Linked DNA regions of Ovis aries. The protein of the gene in region 1 purifies or fractionates together with the protein of each later gene. This does not show direct contact. Links are inferred from orthologs where the notes say so. Each region holds a gene or a part of one and is shown in the gene's direction. Other genes may lie near its edges. The genes, in order: SMAD7, ACVR1B, USP15, RNF111 and TGFBR2.

Evidence for each region.
Region 2: the proteins of SMAD7 (region 1) and ACVR1B purify together in Homo sapiens (affinity purification with western blotting; 3 studies listed by BioGRID and IntAct, with this or other methods). This does not show direct contact. The link is inferred for Ovis aries from reciprocal best matches to the Homo sapiens genes SMAD7 and ACVR1B.
Region 3: the proteins of SMAD7 (region 1) and USP15 purify together in Homo sapiens (affinity purification with western blotting; 3 studies listed by BioGRID). This does not show direct contact. The link is inferred for Ovis aries from reciprocal best matches to the Homo sapiens genes SMAD7 and USP15.
Region 4: the proteins of SMAD7 (region 1) and RNF111 purify together in Homo sapiens (affinity purification with western blotting; 3 studies listed by BioGRID). This does not show direct contact. The link is inferred for Ovis aries from reciprocal best matches to the Homo sapiens genes SMAD7 and RNF111.
Region 5: the proteins of SMAD7 (region 1) and TGFBR2 purify together in Homo sapiens (affinity purification with western blotting; 3 studies listed by BioGRID). This does not show direct contact. The link is inferred for Ovis aries from reciprocal best matches to the Homo sapiens genes SMAD7 and TGFBR2.

Annotation. Positions count from the first base shown.
Region 1 is NC_056076.1:48,924,122-48,927,404, reverse strand, and holds the end of SMAD7 (mothers against decapentaplegic homolog 7), read left to right. Parts: intron 1-797; coding exon 798-1,336; 3' UTR 1,337-2,779; downstream 2,780-3,283. UniProt on the Homo sapiens protein: Antagonist of signaling by TGF-beta (transforming growth factor) type 1 receptor superfamily members; has been shown to inhibit TGF-beta (Transforming growth factor) and activin signaling by associating with their receptors thus preventing SMAD2 access.
Region 2 is NC_056056.1:134,372,167-134,376,474, reverse strand, and holds the start of ACVR1B (activin receptor type-1B), read left to right. Parts: upstream 1-1,502; 5' UTR 1,503-1,601; coding exon 1,602-1,692; intron 1,693-4,308. UniProt on the Homo sapiens protein: Transmembrane serine/threonine kinase activin type-1 receptor forming an activin receptor complex with activin receptor type-2 (ACVR2A or ACVR2B).
Region 3 is NC_056056.1:157,401,929-157,406,210, reverse strand, and holds the start of USP15 (ubiquitin carboxyl-terminal hydrolase 15), read left to right. Parts: upstream 1-1,477; 5' UTR 1,478-1,488; coding exon 1,489-1,577; intron 1,578-4,282. UniProt on the Homo sapiens protein: Hydrolase that removes conjugated ubiquitin from target proteins and regulates various pathways such as the TGF-beta receptor signaling, NF-kappa-B and RNF41/NRDP1-PRKN pathways.
Region 4 is NC_056060.1:49,459,537-49,463,751, reverse strand, and holds the start of RNF111 (E3 ubiquitin-protein ligase Arkadia), read left to right. Parts: upstream 1-1,415; 5' UTR 1,416-1,766; intron 1,767-2,295; 5' UTR 2,296-2,347; coding exon 2,348-2,352; intron 2,353-4,215. UniProt on the Homo sapiens protein: E3 ubiquitin-protein ligase. Required for mesoderm patterning during embryonic development. Acts as an enhancer of the transcriptional responses of the SMAD2/SMAD3 effectors, which are activated downstream of BMP.
Region 5 is NC_056072.1:5,138,012-5,141,978, forward strand, and holds the start of TGFBR2 (TGF-beta receptor type-2), read left to right. Parts: upstream 1-1,166; 5' UTR 1,167-1,405; coding exon 1,406-1,499; intron 1,500-3,967. UniProt on the Homo sapiens protein: Transmembrane serine/threonine kinase forming with the TGF-beta type I serine/threonine kinase receptor, TGFBR1, the non-promiscuous receptor for the TGF-beta cytokines TGFB1, TGFB2 and TGFB3.

The DNA of each region.
Region 1 (3,283 bases):
TGTCTGGGCTGTGACACCAGGGTGCATGCTGTGATTTGGCGTGGAGACGTGAACTCACCCTTTGTGTACAGATCTGCTGCTGACGAACACGCTGAAAGTTGTGTTTCTATTAAGAAGCTAGTTGTTTTTTTTCACCCTAAACCACCTCCACTAAAGTTTTTCTGGACAGTGATCCCTTATGACCAAGGCACTGATCTGAGAACCGGGTGACAGGCTCAGAGACTCTAGCAGGTGTTCCTGGGGTCCAGGTCTGGCTCTTTCGTCCCTGGAGCCTGAGAGAAAAAAAGCTTTCTGAGTCCAGGTTTTCTCATGAGGATGACTTGAGGCTGGAGCCTCTGGCCTTCAAGGTTCCATCCCGTTGAAAAGAACTGAAATTCTGGACCATCCATGTATAACACCTTCTCTAGCCCTAAAACCAGGGCCAGCCAACTTACTGAGAGGTCTTTGCTTCTGGGCTCTGCAAGGATGGGGCTTTGGCTTTGGCCAGGTGGGCACATGTCCTGTGTTCTTGATAGAGTCGGGGGGATGGGGGGGATGAAGGGAAGAGACTCCCCAGTGAGCCCCGTGCATAGAGGCAAGGCTTTTCCATCACGGGGTCGAGCTTTCCAGACTCCCCGTAGGAGGACTGTCCAGCCTGCATCACAGCCAGCCACCTCATACCTCCTCCTGTCTTGCACCGAAACAAAGACCAATCATGGGGGTGTATGTATGTGTGTGTCTTGGTTTCAGGAGGAAGAGGAGAAGGCCAGTCTGCATCACCACTGATTAGGTCTGCCTTTTTTCTGTCTGTTTTCCAGATTCCCAACTTCTTCTGGAGCCTGGGGATCGGTCACACTGGTGCGTGGTGGCATACTGGGAGGAGAAGACGAGAGTGGGGAGGCTCTACTGTGTCCAGGAGCCCTCCCTGGACATCTTCTATGATCTACCTCAGGGGAATGGCTTTTGCCTCGGACAGCTCAATTCGGACAACAAGAGTCAGCTGGTGCAGAAAGTACGGAGCAAAATCGGCTGTGGCATCCAGCTCACGCGGGAAGTGGACGGCGTGTGGGTGTACAACCGCAGCAGTTACCCCATCTTCATCAAGTCAGCCACACTGGACAACCCGGACTCCAGGACGCTGTTGGTACACAAAGTGTTCCCCGGTTTCTCCATCAAGGCTTTTGACTACGAGAAGGCGTACAGCCTGCAGCGGCCCAACGACCACGAGTTCATGCAGCAGCCGTGGACTGGCTTCACCGTGCAGATCAGCTTCGTGAAGGGCTGGGGCCAGTGCTACACTCGCCAGTTCATCAGCAGCTGCCCGTGCTGGCTGGAGGTCATCTTCAACAGCCGGTAGCCACGCGGGGAGAGGGCAGAGCGGGGGCAGAGCGGGCCCAGTCCAAACTACTTTGCTGCTAATATTTCCCTCCTGAGTGCTTGCTTTTCATGCAAACTCTTTGGTCATTATTCCCCCCCCCCCCCCCCCCCCACCGCCTACCCTCCTTCTCGTCGTCCTTGTTTATGTTGTTTTGTTCTTTGAGAAATAGCTTATGAAAAGAATTCTTGGGGTTTGGAGGGGCGGAGAGTGGTATGGTTGGCAGAACACTGCTATACGAAAAAGGGGAAGCAAAAAAATCAGCACCACCATATACCGTGTAAATGGGGAGCAGGCCCCACCCTTGGGGCCATCACTACCCTTGTCAGAGGGTGGGGTGTGCGTGCGTCAGTGCGTCTGTGCGTGCACGTATGTAGACGAGGGAAAGTGGTGTGCTCTGTTTCCTACGCGTGTTGCCTGCTGAGAGGTTTGTGTCTCCTTTGCCCTTTGGACAGGCTCAGTGGGGCAGCGGGTGTCCCAGCAGAAGGCTCTGTCCCCAGAGCCTGGGGAAGCCCCCACCCCGCCTTGCCCCTTCTCGGACATTGGCCTGTCCGAAGGCTTCTCCGAAGCCGCCCCACCAGAGGCCGGACCAGAACCCGTTTCCTCCTGCTGCCTCACTCCCCTCTGGCCACCCCGCTGCCATCGTCATAGCTGTCTGTCTCGGCCATCTGCTCCTGGACATCTCTGGGATGGGCTTCCCAAGGGTTGCCGGGGCAGCCCCGTCACAGTATTGCTCACCCAGCGCCCTCTCAGGCCCCTCCGCCTCTCCCCTGCCCTGGTTACATCAGGTTTTTCCTGGACTCACAAAGCCAGCTCAGCACTTTCCTCCCCTCCGCAGCCTGTGTTGAGCTCCGCTGTTAGACCAGCGAGGGGAGCAGCCCTCTACCCCCCACCCCCTACCCCTTCCCACCAAGAAGGAGTCGGTCCATCTTAACCCAAGGTACCATCCTGAGCTGACGCCTAACCAACTCATACACTCGTATGATACGTTGACACTGCTCTTAGCTCAATGAGCATGTTTAGACTTTAACATAAGCTATTTTTCTAACTACAAAGGTTTAAATGAACAAGAGAAGCATTCTCATTGGAAATTTAGCATTGTAGTGCTTTGAGAGAGAAAGGACTCCTGAAAAAAAAAAAAAACCCTGAGATTTATTAAAGAAAAAATGTATTTTATGTTATATATAAATATATTATTACTTGTAAATATAAAGACGTTTTATAAGCATCATTATTTATGTATTGTGCAATGTGTATAAACAAAATAAAGAAAAGATGCACTTTGCTTTAATATAAATGCAAATAACAAATGCCAAATTAAAAAAAGATAAACACAAGATTGGTGTTTTTTTCTATGGGTGTTATCACCTGGCTGAATGTTTTTCTAAAGGAGTTTATGTTCCATTAAACAGTTTTTAAAATGTATACTTGATTCCATGTTGTCCTCCAGCTCCTTTTTCTTCTGACGGGGGGAGGGTGGGATGCAGCCATCAGAATCCAGGACTCTTGGGAGTCTCCCAGAGCTTGGTGGGGGAGGAAGCCTGGCCGGGGGAAGCAGAGAAGGGAGAGACATCCAGAACCGCTTGGTCTTTCTCAGATCCTTAGGCAGATGTCCTCAATTTGTAACGGGTCAACCTTGGGGAGCCCTCAGTTGCAAGGGCAGCTGATTTCTTAAAGCCTGAAGAGTTGAGAAAAGGGGATGTCATCTCAAATGACGGGGAGGAGGTTGCCCTGAGAGAGGTAAAGCCCCAAGCGCTTGGGCCCCTTGCTTCCTGCTTGTTAACGCCTCGATTTACATTAAATCCTGAGACTAGTGCAACTTTCCCAGAGGAAGGTCACTGCCACCCTGGGTTCCAGGACAGATTCCCTGAGGGCTGAAGCCCTGGGGTTGAGATGAGGCGGGGGCTCAGTGGTAGTGGGTGGAGGTCT
Region 2 (4,308 bases), on another chromosome or scaffold:
GATGAGCACTTATAAGAATATACAGAGGCAGAGCACTATAAAAATAAGGTGTTTGATCATTCAGTTACTGATCAATGTGTAGACAGTGCCTCTGTAAAACTTTGCATGTGTGTGTTTGTGTGTGAGTGGTGTCTGGGGTGTCTGCAGCCTAGTTTTTTTCTTTATATTAGGAGGGGTATTCTTCAGGTTGGTAACAGCTTTGAAGGTGAGGATTCCATTTGAGAAGCTCCACCTTCCCACTCCCACCTTTCGGCATCCTCTCCACTTCTAATTCTCATTTGATGAGACTCTGCTAATGGGGGTTAAAAAATCTGCCCAAGTTTCCATGCCAGTTAGTAAGAAAACGAGAATTCAGATCCAGAACTCTGGGTCCAAAACTCTGTCCTTTTCATGATTTCAAACTCTTTTAAAGTGAATATTTTCAAAAAGATATGAGCGATTCAGTTTACCGTTAATAAGCATTTCCCCCTAAATTTGAAAGTAACAGTAGCTTATTTGCAAAATATTTAGAAAATACTGAAATGTTTAAAGAAAAAATAAAAAAATTATTCTGGTGATAACTTCAGATATTGACTAAGTTCCTATCAGTCTTTTTTCCTTGCAGTTATACAGTATCAACAAAATCAGAACAATACTGTAAGTAGTTTTCTATTTTGCTTTCTCATTTAGCATTATCTCATGAGTATCTCCTCACATCATTATTTTTACAAACATAATTTTTAATTAGTAAATAATGTTTCATCGTATGGACGGGACATAATTTGTTTTCTATACTATTTGTTTTCAGCTTTTACAGTGATAAACAAGTAATAGTTAACATTTCTCACAAAAACCTGTCCTCATCTCTATTATTGCTTGAAGATGGGAGGCTGGGGTATGAACATTTTAAGACATTTGATACACAATGCCAAGTTGTTTACTAAAAGGTTTCTACCTACCAACAGCACGGGAGTGCTTCACGCAGCACCCTCACCAAGACTGAATACTGTCATTAAAAAGCCCTGTACGTTCTGAGAAGGGGCATCCCATGATTCGATCACACACGTGGCTGTGCGTCCTGCGGATCGCAGGGGGCCACTGGGAATGGGAGACTAATTAGGAGATGGTTGCGACGATCCCAGTGGGATGTGATGGGTGCTTGAGGCTAAGCAGTAGGCATGAAGGAAAAGGGAACAAGCGCACGGGACTCGTAGAACGTTCTATGCGAGGGATGGGGGTCGGTGCTGATAAGATCACGCCGCGCTGCTGGGGGTGCAGAACTGGGCGGAGGCCGCGTGTGTGGGGCTCGGCCTCCGCGCCGTGCTTGGCACTCACGGGTGAGGTTGGCCGAGGCGCGAGCCCCTCCCACCCCTTTAACGGGGACACTCCCCTTTAAGGCGGGCGCCCGCGCGCACCCGGCCCCGCCCTTCGGGGGCGCGCGCGGCGGCCGCGGCGCCGGCTCCGCCGGGAGCGCACGTGCCGGCGCCGGGTGGAGGAGAGGGAGGCGGGAGCCGGGCCGCGGGAGGAGGGGAGGCGCCGGGGGCGCGCGCGCGCGCGCTGGGCGCTGCTGGGCTGCGGCGGCGGCGGCGGCGGCGGCGGCGGCGGCGGCGGCGGCGGTTACTATGGCGGAGTCGGCCGGAGCCTCCTCCTTCTTCCCCCTTGTTGTCCTCCTGCTTGCCGGCAGCGGCGGGTCCGGGCCCCGGGGGATCCAGGGTGAGTCCCGGGGCGGGGCGGGGGCCGGGATGGAGCGGGCCGGGCGAGGGCGAGGCCTCGCGCCGCGGCCCCTGGCTACAGCGCGCCCCCTCCCCACGCGCACAATATGGCCGGGCGGGGGGCGCGGGGGAGTCGCGGGGACCCCTCACCTGGGTCGGCTTCCCCCGATCCCCGAGGCGCGGCCGCCTCGCCGGGACCGAGCTCACGCCGGGCCCCTGGGGACCCGAGCCCTTTCCCAGGAGGGACTGGATCTGGGGAGCTCTCGAGGGTCGCGCTCCCAGCACCCCCATGTTCCATGGAAGGGAGTGCAGGCTTCCTTCCCCGAGGTTTGGAGATCCACGTTTCTGCCGCTCAGCATGTCCAGGGGCGGGGGTCTTCATTCCCTCCCTCCAGATGCTCCAGGGGGGAGTTGGGGGGGGGCGCCTTTTCTCCCGCCAAGATTGTGGGGCTTCGGCGATGGGGTCTTTGCTCCTCCGAGGTATCCTGACGTTGAGAGCCCTTGCGCACCATAGATAAAAGGGGAAGGGGGTCTTCAACCTTTCCGTCAGCTCCCTCCTGCAGTTGGGGTGCTTCTTCCCCTCCCTCTCCTTCCTCCCTGACGTTCTGGGAAAGCGAGTCACATTTCCCTCTCGGGCAGTCCCTTGAGTTCAGTGGGGCCAACCCCCCTCCTCCAGTCCACATGCCCCGGGGAAGCTCAGTGGAGGAAATGGGACGAACAGGCCCCTATCTGGAGCTTGGCTTTGGAATCTCTCTAACCCTAGGAGACCTAGTTCCAGAACGGTTAATCTGCATCTAGGTGTATTTGCTTTCTCCCTCGCCACTCCCACCCCACCTCAGGGGGTCCATTCTGCTGGTCACTTTGTGGATGCCTTTCAGGTGACATCCTGGAACCTGCCTCCCACCCCCAAGATTATTTAAAGACCCCACCACCAGACCAGCTGTTGGCCCTTGGTCAGGATTTATTTACCTTCCCACACCAGCCCTCTTCCCAACCCTTCCCCCTACGTCTTCCCCCACCCTTGCACACCCCTCACCTTCCAACTCCCACAGCCTTCTGCTCCCTGGCAGCACCCCCATCCTTCTCACTACCAAAGTGGTGCCTTTCTGTGGGACACTCAGTTGAGTGTCTCGTTTGTGAGGCTTTACGGGCTTGAGGAATGCAGATGAAACCCTAAAATATTTAAGGGAGTCGTCTCAACCCTGTGCTGGCATTGGGGTAGCAGATGAAGGTTATATTTGGCCTTTATATTGGAGTGATTATTGACCCGCAGTTGGAACTGGGAGAGACAGTCAGGACTGTCTTTGCTCCCGATGTGCAAAGCCTGCTGCTCTGACTTCTCAGCAGCCCCTAACCTTCTAGCAGCGCGAGATCAAGCGTGTGTTCCGTGGTTCTCTTCTCTCCACCAAAAAATAATGGTTCTCAGGCGGGTTCAGATCTCTTTCAGAAATGAGACAATCAACCAAAGACGCGATCCCGTTTTGGCGTCTCACAAACAAGTTCATTCCCTCCAGCCTTGATGTTTGTTTCCAGTGGTGCAGCCTGTGTGGTGGGGTCTTTGTTCACTGGTTAATGCTTCTGCTAAGGCTGTCGTGTGTGTTCCTGGATCTCGCTGCTCTGTGGCAGAGGTAACGCGCTGTGGGGTCTGATAGATGTGGTGAAGGTATGTGAACACAGCCTGACATTCGTGGTAAGTTAATGATTTTCATGAATAATGTATGCTGGGCCTTACTTTGGGGCCATGTTTTTGGAGTGTGTATCATGATGTTATTTCACTAGTAGGGTAGTAAATAAGGAGATTCAGCCTTCAGGTTTGTCATTTTACATGTGTATGACTAAATCTGTAAATTTCTTCCTTAGGAATTTTTATCCTGTTGCTAATGTATCTGAAATTCTTAACAGCCATTTCCCTCTTGGTTTGGTGTAGTGTCTGGTGGGATATTTCTTGTTGTCATGAGCCTAGTTAAGAATGTTTAATTGATGATCTATCTGGTTCTGAATGGGACAGGTTCATTTTTTTGGTAACCTTCCTAAAATGGATGTTTGTTGGGATGAGGATGGGTGGGCATAGTAGGGAGTTGGTTTCTTTTTTTGGTTAATTGGAAATTAGGTTGTGTATCCAGCAAACATTCTCGAAGGCCTTCAAACTTGGCCAGACACTACAGTTTTTTCCGGGACACATCTCGTTGCCAATAGTGCATGCTACAGAGACCACTGTTGCAAAAGGCTTAAAGTGAAGCATCAGTTCTGGGAACATAGAGGCTGTGAGATAACTAGAAGTTGATTACTGTCCTCCCCACGCTTCCTCTGTCGTGCTCCCCTAGGTGGGCCGGGAGGAGCAGCAGGGCCAGGCAGCCCTGATGCCTCTGAAGACAGGATGTGAGGAAAGCAAGGGATAGGTGTCTGTGTTAAATAGTGAACTAGTAGCAACTTAGTAAAAGGCCAGTGGTACAGAGCGCGAATTCCAGGTTATAAACTGCATCCATTTAATAGGTGGACCACATTCTAAGGCCTACCTTTGGCATTTTCACTTTAGCATTTAACAATGTAAAGCTGAATTAGTAGCAGGAGAACATGACATTCATTTTCTTAAGACAGAAAGCTGCAAGGGAGACATT
Region 3 (4,282 bases), on another chromosome or scaffold:
AGGAACTGGAAGCTGTTTTCAGACTTTCAAATCAAGGATGCAAGAATACAAAATAGTATTACTTCAAAAAAAAAAAGCAATCCTAATGCTGATACACACAAATTATACTACCCTGACTTGGAAGGGTTCAACACTTATTAGTATATTACACCCATTTTCTGCATTCCCACCAAATGAGTTAGCATAGAGGCTGAAAATTAAACGAGAGATCATGCTGGAATTCTTATCCATCCTTTAGACTTTTCACATCATGTTATCTTACAGTCAAATCGCTGGACATCTTCATGCTTGGAATTACTTACGCAGTTTTGCCACAATTCATTTCTGAAACACATATTTAGGTCATTCTTGTTAGGCAGCACTAGGTGTACAAAGCGCTAGCCACTAGATGTACAAAGGGGTTGTTTTTTGTTTGTTTTAAATGAATTAGTGCAGCCTAGTTTCTATGTTAGTTTAGGCTTTCGTGGGGTCGCAAAGAGTCGGACACGACTGAGCTGAGCTGAAGGAGTGGTAATTAGTGTACTATACTGGACAGCGAGCCAGTGTGCACGTGAAGCTGGATTATAAACTGGCCTCTCCACTTGCTGTGTGACCTTGGCATTTGATTGTTGAGACTCGATTTTCCCCTTTTTGACATAATCGGCTTCAACTAATTGCTGGTATTAGCTACTTTCAAGTGCACACACCATGGGAAGGTGTGGCTAGGAATACGTCACTTCACAGTATCTAGGAGAATGGGTTTCTTGCCTGTTTTGGCTCCTTTACTTTAGTACCTGGCACTATTCGATACATATTTTACACCTTGTTCACCGAGGAACTGGAACATGTTTTTCACTGCAGCTTAGCTATCTGGGTGTGCCTGGGGAGGCGTCACAAAGAGCCTATAAAAGGTCTCCACCTACAGCAGGAGTAGGAGCGCAAGAAAGCCCAGAAAGAGCGCTGCGGCTAAGCGTTCGGCTTCGGGTCGCTAGATTTGGCCCAATCTTCACCGAGTTTAGGTTCTGAGACTCGCAACGGAGAGACTCGAGTCACAGACCTGTTACAAATTTTCTGCCATATTTCAGCCGTCCCCACGCCCCCCGCCCCGCCCCACCCTCAAGCGTGAGTGAATGCGCAAATAAGGGTTTTCAGGCGTCTGTGGGAAAGACGGAGGGGACGGCAGAAGGCAGGATGGACAGGGCGGTGGCACCGCTCAAATGAGCCAGGATCCAGGCCCCACAGCAGAAAGTTAAAACCAGGCGTTCCCGGGTCGTAGGAGGCCGAGGCGAGCTGCTGGACGGGCGGGGGCCGATGCGAGGCAGCCGACCACGGCGGAGCACTCACTCCGCCCGGGGCCAACGCCGGTCCGGAGGCGCACCCCCCCCCCCGCCTTACGTCTCGTTTGGTTTCGACCTGCCGACTGGGAGGGGCCGCGGGACGCCATTCCCACAATGCTCTGGGGCGTGCCGCCGCCGTCGCTGCCGCCTCCGCTGCCGCTAGTGGAAGAAGATGGCGGAAGGCGGAGCGGCAGATCTGGACATCCAGCGGTCTGACATCGCGACGCTGCTCAAAACCTCGCTCCGGAAAGGGGACACCTGGTGAGGGAAAGAGGTTGAGGTGGCTGCGGTTGCCCGAAGATGGTGGGGGACTCGGTGGGAACTGCGGGCTGGTGTCTCGCTGGTGACAGGTGCGGGCAGGTCCGGCGGCGGCCGCCTCAGGCAGCAGGATTTTGGCCGCTTCCGCAAGGTTGGGGCAAAGACTGGACCCGAAATGAGGGCCACGGTTCATGGCTCGTCGAGGCATGCTGAAAGGCTTGCGGGGAGCGGCGGCGGCGGCTCGTGCGGTTCTCCTTGTCCTTCTTCCTCTGGTTGTGCCGCTCCCACTTCAGGCCTTCCCGAACGATAGGTTACTCTCGTTCAGTGTGAGACTCTCACTTAATGTTTGACAGGTCCTGGTCTCGCGGCTAATCACGATCTCACCCGCTTCACTTCTTTAGTCATTTCCTTTCCCTGCATTGTCGGCATCCAAGTTCCCCTATTCTGATTCTCGTATTCTTCCGGGAGGCCGGCTGCAGGATGTTTGCGGTTCTTACTACACAGGTGGCATGTGTCAGGGCGCCGCTTAAGAGAAAGGAACCTAGTTCCTAGTTCCTTGTCAAAAGGAGGGAGAGGAGTACTGAACCTTAGGCTTCTGAGTGGTACCACGTGGTCTTGTGCTTTAGTGGAGGCTTGATAGACGCCAGCAGCGTTTCTCTTAGAAGTGCAGTCCTTCCCTCTCACTGGAAGGATAAGTTAGGCCTGCAAGAAGTAGATAAGTCCACTTGAAGCTTCAGTCACTTGCTAACATTCAAACTTATAAAATACCAAGGGATATACTTAAAATATCGAAGGAAGTATTTGTAGATTTTAATATTTGTGGGCCATATCAAGTGGTAATCAAAATAACTTAAGTATGTGAATATGTAACCTAAAATGCTCTGTTTCATTAGGAAGGATCATGTGCTTCTTTATTATAATAAAAGTTATTTTCACTTTTCCATCGTCACCATAACAGTTGTGTATAATATGCAGCGTGTTTTTTCATTTCCTCATTATGGCTTAGTGGAAGGAGGGTAAGATTTAGACTCGTTAGGTTAGCCTTTCCACCACTTAGCTTGCAGTGTGACTTTGAGGAAAGTTAATTCAAATTGCATCTCAATGATTTCATCTACGAAATGGACAGAATAATTTCATTTAGGGGTTTATCCTGATTCAGTGAAATAGTCTACAAGATTTTCTGCCTTGATATAACATTAAGTTTTAGTTACCTTCTTATCACCACCATTTCTGTTAAAATGCTGTGGTATTAGAATCATTGTCAAGTAAGCTAGAATCACTGTCAAGTAAGCTAGTAGATGACAGACTTGGGACTTGAATTTAAATACTTTGGTCCAAGTTTTGGTACTTTTTCTTATTTTGTTAGGCCACACTGTAAGTTTTATATGATTAAAAATCCCTGAGTGTAAACATATACGTGTTGGATTACAGCAAAAAATATGGTTTAATAATCATTTTGTTCATAAGGGAGTGTTCCTATGATGTTAATTACTGGGGAAATTGGACATTTCCTAGGACATTTTTATTTACCTTTTCCTGTGAATTGTAAAAAATGAAATCAATCCTTCTTCTTGTTTGTTAAAGAACATTTTAACATTCTTAATTTACCTTGCCTAATACCACCTTATACAAAGGTAAATGTGGATTTTCATGAAATACAAGTCTACAATTTAATATATTTGTTGATGTTCAGTCGCTAAGTTGTGTCTGACTCTTTGTGACTCCATGGACTCTAGTGCGGCAGGCTTCCCTGTCCTTCTCTGTCTCCTGGAGTTTGCTCTAACTCATGTTCATTGAGTTGGTGATGCTATTTAATTTAATATATAGATATTACTTTTATGTATATTACTCCTTGTTACTGTTGTTGTGGTTTTGATATACTGAGTAATAATTGGTGGTGTTAACCATAAAGGATGACCAAAGCAGTATGGATATTGTGACCATTAAAGTTTAGCATTTTTATTTTTGACAAAGTTACTGTAAATCATTTTAAAGATCTGTTGATATTTATAAGAGTAAATACAGGAAGTTCATAAATTTGAGGCATTTTAGTGCTTCCATCTTAAAAGAAAACTGAGGCCCAGACATTTAATTAACAGCAGAATATGCAAACTTTTATCCTCACAATTGATTTCCCCTCTCATTTACAGGAAAAAAATACAGGAAAAGATGGTACTGGGATGCTCCAGAAACTAATTTGGTTTATATGTGAGCCAGTTTACTTGGAATTAGCAAGTGAAACCTATCAAAAAAGGAATTAGCAAAAGTTTAATTCAGAATTTTAAGGAGAATAATTTAAGTATGAATTTGATAATGTGTTCATGAGTACAGAATTCGTAAAGATATTTAATGGTTTAGTTGTCGCTTAGGTTCATGTTTTTGGTACTCATTAAAACTTGTTAAACAGTTATTTCTCTTTTTAAAGTCTTAAAAAAGCCTTGGGTTAGTCATTTATGGGTGGGCAAATTATGTTTGTTTTTTAATAGCTGAAATGGGCCGTATGCAAATGAAACATTTTCTTGGCATATGTATGTTACCAACTTGAAAAGACTGATTGGACTATTAAGAAAAAATGATAGATTTACCATGAGTTTATTCTTGAAATGTTAATAGTAACATTTCATGTTATAGTCAAATACATTCAAGTAAGTAAAGATCATTAATTAGGTTGTGAGCACTTTGCAGAAAAGGACTGCCTCTTACTACTC
Region 4 (4,215 bases), on another chromosome or scaffold:
CTTTCTTTTCTCCCCGACCTTCCTTTCTTTTTGGAGACAGATTTACAAAGTTCAAATCAATTAGACACCTGCTATTTTCATCACCGAATTTTTTTTTTTTTAATTTTCAAAAATCACTGCAGATGGTGACTGCAGCCTCCTTGGAAGAAAAGCTTTGACCAACCTAGACAGCATATTTAAAAACAGAGACATTACTTTGCCAACAAAGGTCCATCTAGTCAAAGCTATGGTTTTTCTAATACTCATGTATGGATGTGAGAGTTGTACCATAAAGAAAGCTGAGTGCGAAGAATTGATGCTTTTGAATTGTAGTGTCGGAGAAGACTTGAGAGTTCCTTGGACTGCACGGAGATCAAACCAGTCAATCCTAAAAGAAATCAGTCCTGAATATTCATTGGAAGGACTGATGCTGAAACTGCAATACTTTTGCTACCTGATGCAAAGAACTGACTCATTGGAAAAGACCCTGATGCTGGGAAAGATTGAAGGCAGGAGAAGGGGATGACAGAGGATGAGATTGTTGGATGGCATCACCTACTTGATGGACATGAGTTTGAGCAAGCTCCAGGAGTTGGTGATGGGCAGGGAAGCTGGGCATGCTGCAGTCCATGGGGTCACAGGGTTGGACTTGACTGAGTGACTGAACTGAATGGATTCTTTTTCCATATAGGTTATTACAGAATATTGAGTAGAGTTCCCTATGCTATTCAGTAGGTTCTTGTTGGTTATCCATTTTACAGATAGTGCTGTGTACATGTCAACCCCAAACGCCCCATCTATCCCTATTCCCAACCCCTTCCCCAAACCTCTAAGTTCACTCACTGGAATTTGAAAGGAAGTTTTACTGATTCCAAGGCCTACATCCCTTTTGCCTACAGCCTATTAATGCAAGTAATGAAGCATCTGTTGTCTCCTGATTTTTATAAAATAAGAAAACGTATATGATTGTACAGTTAGTTCCCAGGATATCTATTACCATTTTTTATCTGATTTTGAAAGCAAATTCACCTCAACGGTGATGATCTCATTGGTAAGGATGATTTGAGTACCATTTGCTGTGACAGACTAAACCATGGCGTTTTTGTTCATTACCTTAAGTATAGTTATTAATTCTGTGGTTGTAACTTTCAGTTATGAAAAAAATCAACCAAGATGTAGTCAATATTTTGTTTAATACTGAACGCATTTCAAAAATGAACATAAAACGAGCTTTAGGACTTCGTTAGGTTTCGGCAACAGACTGATAAGGCGAGTACAAAGGGGGAGGGCCAGCGAAGAGGGAGCCGGACGGTGAGAAACAGGCATCTGAGCAAGCGCAGAAACAAACAGATGTTAATGGAGGATTGAAGGCTACTGCGCTCTCACTTTGCGAACTGTCGTAAAGCTTTGAGTGTCGTGCTTCCTCGGTAGAGGAGGGATTGGTTAGGCGGCGGCGACTGGAGAGCAGCAGCAGTGGCGGCGACGGTGGCGAGGTGTTCGGTCTGCGCAGCATAGAAACGCCCGCAGTTTCGGGGAACGAGTTCCCGTGGGACCAAATTAGGCATTCTGACCCTAAGCCGGGTCAGCTGGGCCGAACCAGGCGCTGCCGCTGGTACAGTTTTGGTGGCGGTGACAGACGCTGCTCTTGACCGTAGGGGCCTCTTAGGCCAACATCTGAGGCGCAGATCACTGGCTCTCGACGCATCCTCTTCCCCGCTCACATCTCCTGTCTTCCTTCCTGGGCCAGCGATTCCCAGAGCCTGGGAAGAGGGTGGCTAATGATTCAGGTGAGGGGGCCGGGGGGAGGGGATCGATTGGAGGCCGCGCGTGCGCGCAACGGGGGAGGGGCCGGGCTGGAGGGGAGAAAGAGGAAGGGCTGCGGCCGCGGAAGGCTGGGGTCGGCGGCCGGCCGGTTACTGCTGGCTCCGTTGTGGCTTAGGGTCGAGGTTTCCGCGGAAGATTTAATTGTGTTTGACAGAGCGTTCGTCTACAGACACACCCACCCTCCTCAGTAAAGGACGGTGGGTGAGGGGATTTCTTTCCCCTTTTTGACTCTCTAGAGTCTTAGGACAGGGGCTGAGGACTGAGGCGTGGGAGTGCGATTTGACAATGGAGTGATGAAGGTAACCCGCACCCGGGGAGTTGGAGGGCGCTAAGGCAGCCCTGACGGTTAGGGAGTTGCCTCCTTCTGTGATCAAGGAAACGTAGACCGCAGAACAGCAGAAATACAGACGCGTCAGATTTTGTAAAGAGTTGGTTGGCTGGCCATTAAAAAAGCTTAATATTTTTATTATTATCATTATTTTTTTTTTACAGAGTTTATCAGAGCCGGTAGCAATGTTGTTGTGGAAATATTTGTGCTGCAGAAATGAGGTTTGTCACATAGTTCTTAAATAGGTTAGAGTAGATCTTTACAGATAACTTAACTCAGGTCTAAGTTTTAACATTTAAAAAAATACCAGGAAGTATAGGGTGTTCGTTTAATTTGTTCGTGTTTGTAGTGTGGGGTGACTCCATTGTATTGCATGCTTTCCTGTTTCTTGATTTATGTGCAGGATGAATTTAGAGCTCTCTGGGGAGATAAGATGCCAGCTGACATAGATTTCATTTTATAGTTCATAACGCTTTTTGTACCTGACTTAATCCAAACTTTATTTCATTTGGTGTTTTATGTTTAATTTTCTTGTTTTAGGGATCTCTTTAACCAAAAAGCACAGACTGGGAAAAAGATAACTAAGGTTCCATTTCCTTTCCCATTTCTGTTTTTTTTTTTTTTTTTGTCATTGCTTTCAAATGTTAGTATGTGATTTGGATATCACATACAAGTTTTAAAATACTGATTTCACTAGAGTGAAAGTCTACATTTTGATACTTTGTTACTGTATGTTTTTGGTAAAAATTTTCATGTCAGTGTAAGCAGTTATTTTTCATTTCAAACAATAGCGTTTAGTTGTGTTTATGAGACAGAACAAGTAGAACCCTTTCACTCGGAAAAGAATCTTAATTATTTTTTAATGCCTTGCTTTGTTTTACTCTCGTCCATCTCTTGTCATTTTAACCTTGGACAAATGACATCTCTCCTGTGCATTTATTTGCCTCTACAATTCCTACTAGTATTCTAAGAACTGACAAGGGTATTTATGAATAGGTCTGAATAATATTGTAGGGAAACTAGGAAGAGTAGAGCCTCTTCTTGTTTATCAGGGTTGCTGTATCTTATGTGTATGGATCTTTCTGTCACTTTCCCCCTTAGTGTCTTTCGGTCACTTGCATGTTAGTTCTTCACTGGAGTTGGTTTTTGAAGAAAGATAAAGTAAGAAATAATTTCGTTTTGAATGCATCATAGTGGAAGTTTCACCTTCACAGGTTTCACATCAGTACTCAATTTCTGCAAGTAGTTGAAAAATAACTATACTGATCTTTAATATAAGAAGTCAACAATTTACTTGTTTAAAATGAAGGAATAATCAGCAGATATTTCTAAATAGTTATTTTCAGTTTAAAATGTAAACTGGAATAGAAACTTGATTGAATCAAACCAGTTAGTTTTTTTCAGACGTTTATTGTATTATTTTGTCAAAAAGGGGTTTCTATAACATGCTTTACTTAGAGTATAATTACAGGTGTCCTTGTTTTGACTTTTCCTCTGGTGACTAGGATTTCAATAGGAAAAAAAGAAGTGACATTACTAAAAATGATGTAAAGAATATTATAACTTGATATTAGCATTCTATGAGTGACATTATCTTATGAAAGAGTATAGGGTTGGAGACAGGAGATACGGATTTTAGATGTAGCTTTGCTTTCTGTTCATTAGGTCTGTGACTTTGTATGACCACCCTGGGCCTCAGATCTCTCTCAGCTGTCAAATGAGAAGTGTGGGGCAGATAACTCTAGTTTTCTCCAGGTCTCAAATTTAATGGTTTGCATTTTTAGTTAGGTGTTTTTAGTATTAATTGTATTCATCATGACCCATTCCCCAGAAAGAAATGCTATCTGAAAATGTAAAATTCTTCCATGGTATATGTATATTAGAGATGGGGTGGGGGGAGGGAGAAGAAAAAAAGCGAGTGAGCTGTGGTCTAAATAATACTTCTGTCCCTTTGTAGATATTAACGCCTAATTTAATAGCTCTCATATGATACTAAAAAAAATGAAACTTTATTTTACTCCTGGTAATGTGCTTTAAATCATTCTGAATACATTTTCTTTCAGAAACCTGTAATCATTGTTCAG
Region 5 (3,967 bases), on another chromosome or scaffold:
TTGACAGGGAAGATGGCAGGGTTGGGTTTCCAGGGAGAGCTAGTTGCCTTTATTCCCAGTAACGCTGGCCACCGGCCTCTGCAAACAAGCTTTCTCTCAGATAAAAGAGTTTTATTGTGCAACCTGCTGGAAGATCTCCTGACCAGAGGGCTGTACTGAATCTAAATCTTTCAGGGCTAGAAGTAGGGTGAGCATATCTAACCAGGACACATGGGAAAGAGAAGCAGGGCCTGCTAAAAATTCAACTTTGAAGCAAATATACACCAGGATTGTGTGGGGGCGAACCTGGCCACCTTACCAAGATGGGGAAGTTGGAAGTTCAGCCTGTTCTGCTCTCACCCATGTCCCCTTTTGCAGGGAGGGGCTCAGGGTCCTGTCCTATCACAGACCCTGGCACTTAGCTGACCCCAGGCCACTGTTACTCTCACACTTTCTGCCCTACCCGATACATTCTGAAGATAACACTTCCCCTTACAGTTATCACTCCGTGATGGGTTGTATTAGTAACTGCTCACTGCCAGAGAGAGAGTCGATTCCAACTGGGAGGCATCACCCAAGAGCTCATCAGAAATGCTGCCTCTTAAGACATGCTGAAGCAGAAGCCGCCTTTTAACACGATTTTCAGGGGGTCCGTGGGTACACTGAAGTGTTCCACCTGCAGTAAAGATAAATATTTTACAATGTGACAAGGTAGGCAAACACAATTAATTGAAACGAAAGTCTAATGAGGAAATACTACTTTAGTAGGGGAAAAACAGCTTGTGCTAACAACTCGGATTTCAGCATCTACTCTTGGGTAGCCACTCGAAGTTTGAAAACCCCGCTCTGAGGCACTTCGGAGCAGCCCGAAGAGGGATGTAGGGAAGTGGGAGGATGCTTGCTGGGGGTGCTCTGGAGAGTGCGCATACACCCTGCGTTCAGTGACTTTCTGGAACTTGTGCGCTTATTGCTCAGCAGTCCTCGGGGCGGGGAACGTGGAGGGCAGCGAGGGGCCGCTGAAAGTTTGCCAAAGCCCCGGAGGGGCCGGTCCCGGGGCCGTGATTGGCAGCTGCGAGAGAGGGCGAGGGCCGGGAGCCGAGCCGCGGAGCAGGCTCCGGGCGGCGAGAGGTCCTGCCCAGCTGTTGGCGAGGAGTTTCCTGTTTCCCCCGCGGCGCCCGGGCGAAGTCGTGAGTCACTCGCACGCCGGGCCCGACGACACTCCGCGCGCGCACCCGCCGGCCGGGCCGGCCTCCAGCTCCGCTCCCCTCGGCCGCCGGGTCCCCCCGCGCCTCGCCCGCCGCCGCCTCCCCGCGGCCCGCGCCGCCACATCTGGCCGCACCGCTGCTGGGCGCCCGCGCGGGTGCGGAGGGCGCGGAGGCGCGGCGTGCGCGCTCGGGCCGGTCTATGCGGAGCGGCGGGGGCTGCCATGGGCCGGGGGCTGCTCGGGGGCCTGTGGCCGCTGCACGTCGTCCTGTGGACGCGCATCGCCAGCACGATCCCGCCGCACGTTCCCAAGTCGGGTGAGTGGCTCCCCGCCCGGACTTGGCGCCGGGGTCCCCGGGTCCCCGCCGGGCTGCGCTTGACAGTCGGCCTGGGAGGCGGGCCGAAGCCGGGACGCGGCCTGGGTCCCCGTGCCCCGGTGCCTTGTGCTGGGACGGGTGGGCTTTGCTTTCCCAAGGCCAGGAAAGTGGCTTCGGCGGGGGGCGCGCGGGGCGCCCGGTCCCCTTTGTGCGGGCAGGAAGGGCGCTGCGTCCCGGGCCGCCCCCACCCCCGGAAAGGGAAGTTTGAGAAGTTGGTGATCGGCGGAGGCAGGACGCGGCGGGCCGCGGAGTGAGCGGCGGGCACACCTGGTCCGGGCCTGGGGTGGCCCAGCGCCCCGAGAGGGCAGGGTCCCCCATTCTCTGCTCCTTCCCAGGGTCACATGCCTCCGGACCGGCCTCTTGGCCCGGAGTAACTTTAGCAAAGTTTCGAGGAAGAGAGCGATTGCCAAAGGAAACTTGTCTGGTTCCACTTGGGGTAGGCATGGATGAGGCCAGAGGGGGAGCTTGTCAGGTGGAAGGCGGAGTGTTTACCGACTGCCTGCTAGGTGCTGGGTGCCTGAGATGTTGCCGGGAGCAGGACAGCCCCGCCTTCGGGCTTGAAGGCTCTCTGCAGTGGTTTGGTGGAAACAGAGGGGTTAAAATCTTAAATACCCCTGCCCACCTGATCTTGATGTCTAGAGGGTTTTGAGGGGAGGAAAATGCAGAAATTGCGCTCTTAAGGATTTGTTATGAAAAGTATCCAACCCCTGAGACCTCGACAGTTAGAAATTTTGCAACGCGTAGCTGCAGACCTGAGTATATGCATCTGGGATCTGGTAACAGACCCAGAGTCTTTGGACCGTCGTGGGCCTCAGTCTCCTCGTGTGCGGAAGGACGCGGTTAGGTCTGGATCGTTTTAGCTCCCTTCATCTTTATCGTCTTGTGTCTCTCTCCTTGCTTTTGATGACTTGGAGATGCCCCGCGGGGAGCAGGGATGAAATGTGGAGGGTCGGACAGCCCCCTGCCCTCTCGAGGACACATTCTGTTTACCAAGGGCCAGAGGCAGAGCACGCTTGGTTTCATCTGGAAGAAATGGGGAGGGGTTCCTACACGGGACATTCCCTAGTCCTTGAAGCGGACGGACAGCTTTCAAGAATGATGTTTTATGCTGAAGGTGGCATGGAGATGGGAGTTTTTAATAGAACGAGGAAGAAGCAATATTGTAAACAAAAAGATCCTAACACAAATTTGAGATCTACGGTTTACTAACAGTCCACTGTTTTATTCTTGGGTGCTTTCTCGCATTGCAGTACCAGAATGTTTGACTCTCTGATTATACTCCAGACTCTTAAAAAACCAAGTTATATTTTGCTAATATTTTAAATGGCACCCTTAGTTTTCAGTTTACATTAGAAATGATTAAAACTTTTGTTTCAATTTATGAAAGAAGGAAATTAGTGGGCCCTGATTCTGCTCAGGTTTGTTTACAAGGATCAGATTTATGATTTGCAAATTCCAGACCCAGTAGTTCATGAGTCAGTCTCAGTTCATCTATATACACACTTTTAAACAATTAGCTTAAAAGCCAACTGGCTTTTTATTTGGGCTTTTAAACAGCATTACAAAACCCACAGATTTCATATTTTTATGGAATTAAAGCCACAAAATGGTTTAACCCTTGTAATTGGTATTCATTTGAAGTTAAATTTTTGAAGATAGTTAAAGGTCAAAGGTAGCTGTAATCAAGATAGGCAACCTAATTCCACTTGTATATAATTTTCCATGGACGTCAGTGGTTTCAGGATTTTCCTAACATAATTAGTAACCTGTCATGACATTTTTTCAGTATATCTTAATGCATAGTTAGGGAAGAAATAAGATTTTTTTATAGCCTTCTTTTGGGTTACGTAAAAAAAAATTCCATCTTATGCTTAGGATATTGACAGGTGAGCCAAGGATTTCAGTGCACGGACAAACTTCACTAAGCTATATGCTTAAAGGTATCTGAGTTTTTGTTTTTGACTTAGTAGACTCACTTATCCGAAATGCCTCAAATTAAGTAATTGCTCTTTGGGGGACAACTTTAAATGTCTGAAAACTCTTCAGATCTGAAAAATATAACTTTTACTTTTCAAATACCTAACAGGATATCCTTGTTGAGGACTCAGTGTGGATGAAAATGTCAGTACAGATAAATTTCTTTTCCCAAATCACTGCTGATTTTGTCAGGGTTCTGGAAACCACTAGGCCTAGAATTTGGTCTATTTGCTTTTGTTCCCAGAAAGCACATTTCTTACCTCTAGGCCACTTGCATTAATGACATCTTATTTTTAAGCAGTTGCGGTTTGTATAAGATGCTCATCACATTTTGGATGCCTGGTCTTTTTTTCAGGGCAGCACCCCACCTTGAAACACTGCTGTCTGTAGAACCAGCATGCCTGCTACATGGTCTCCATTTGCATTATCAA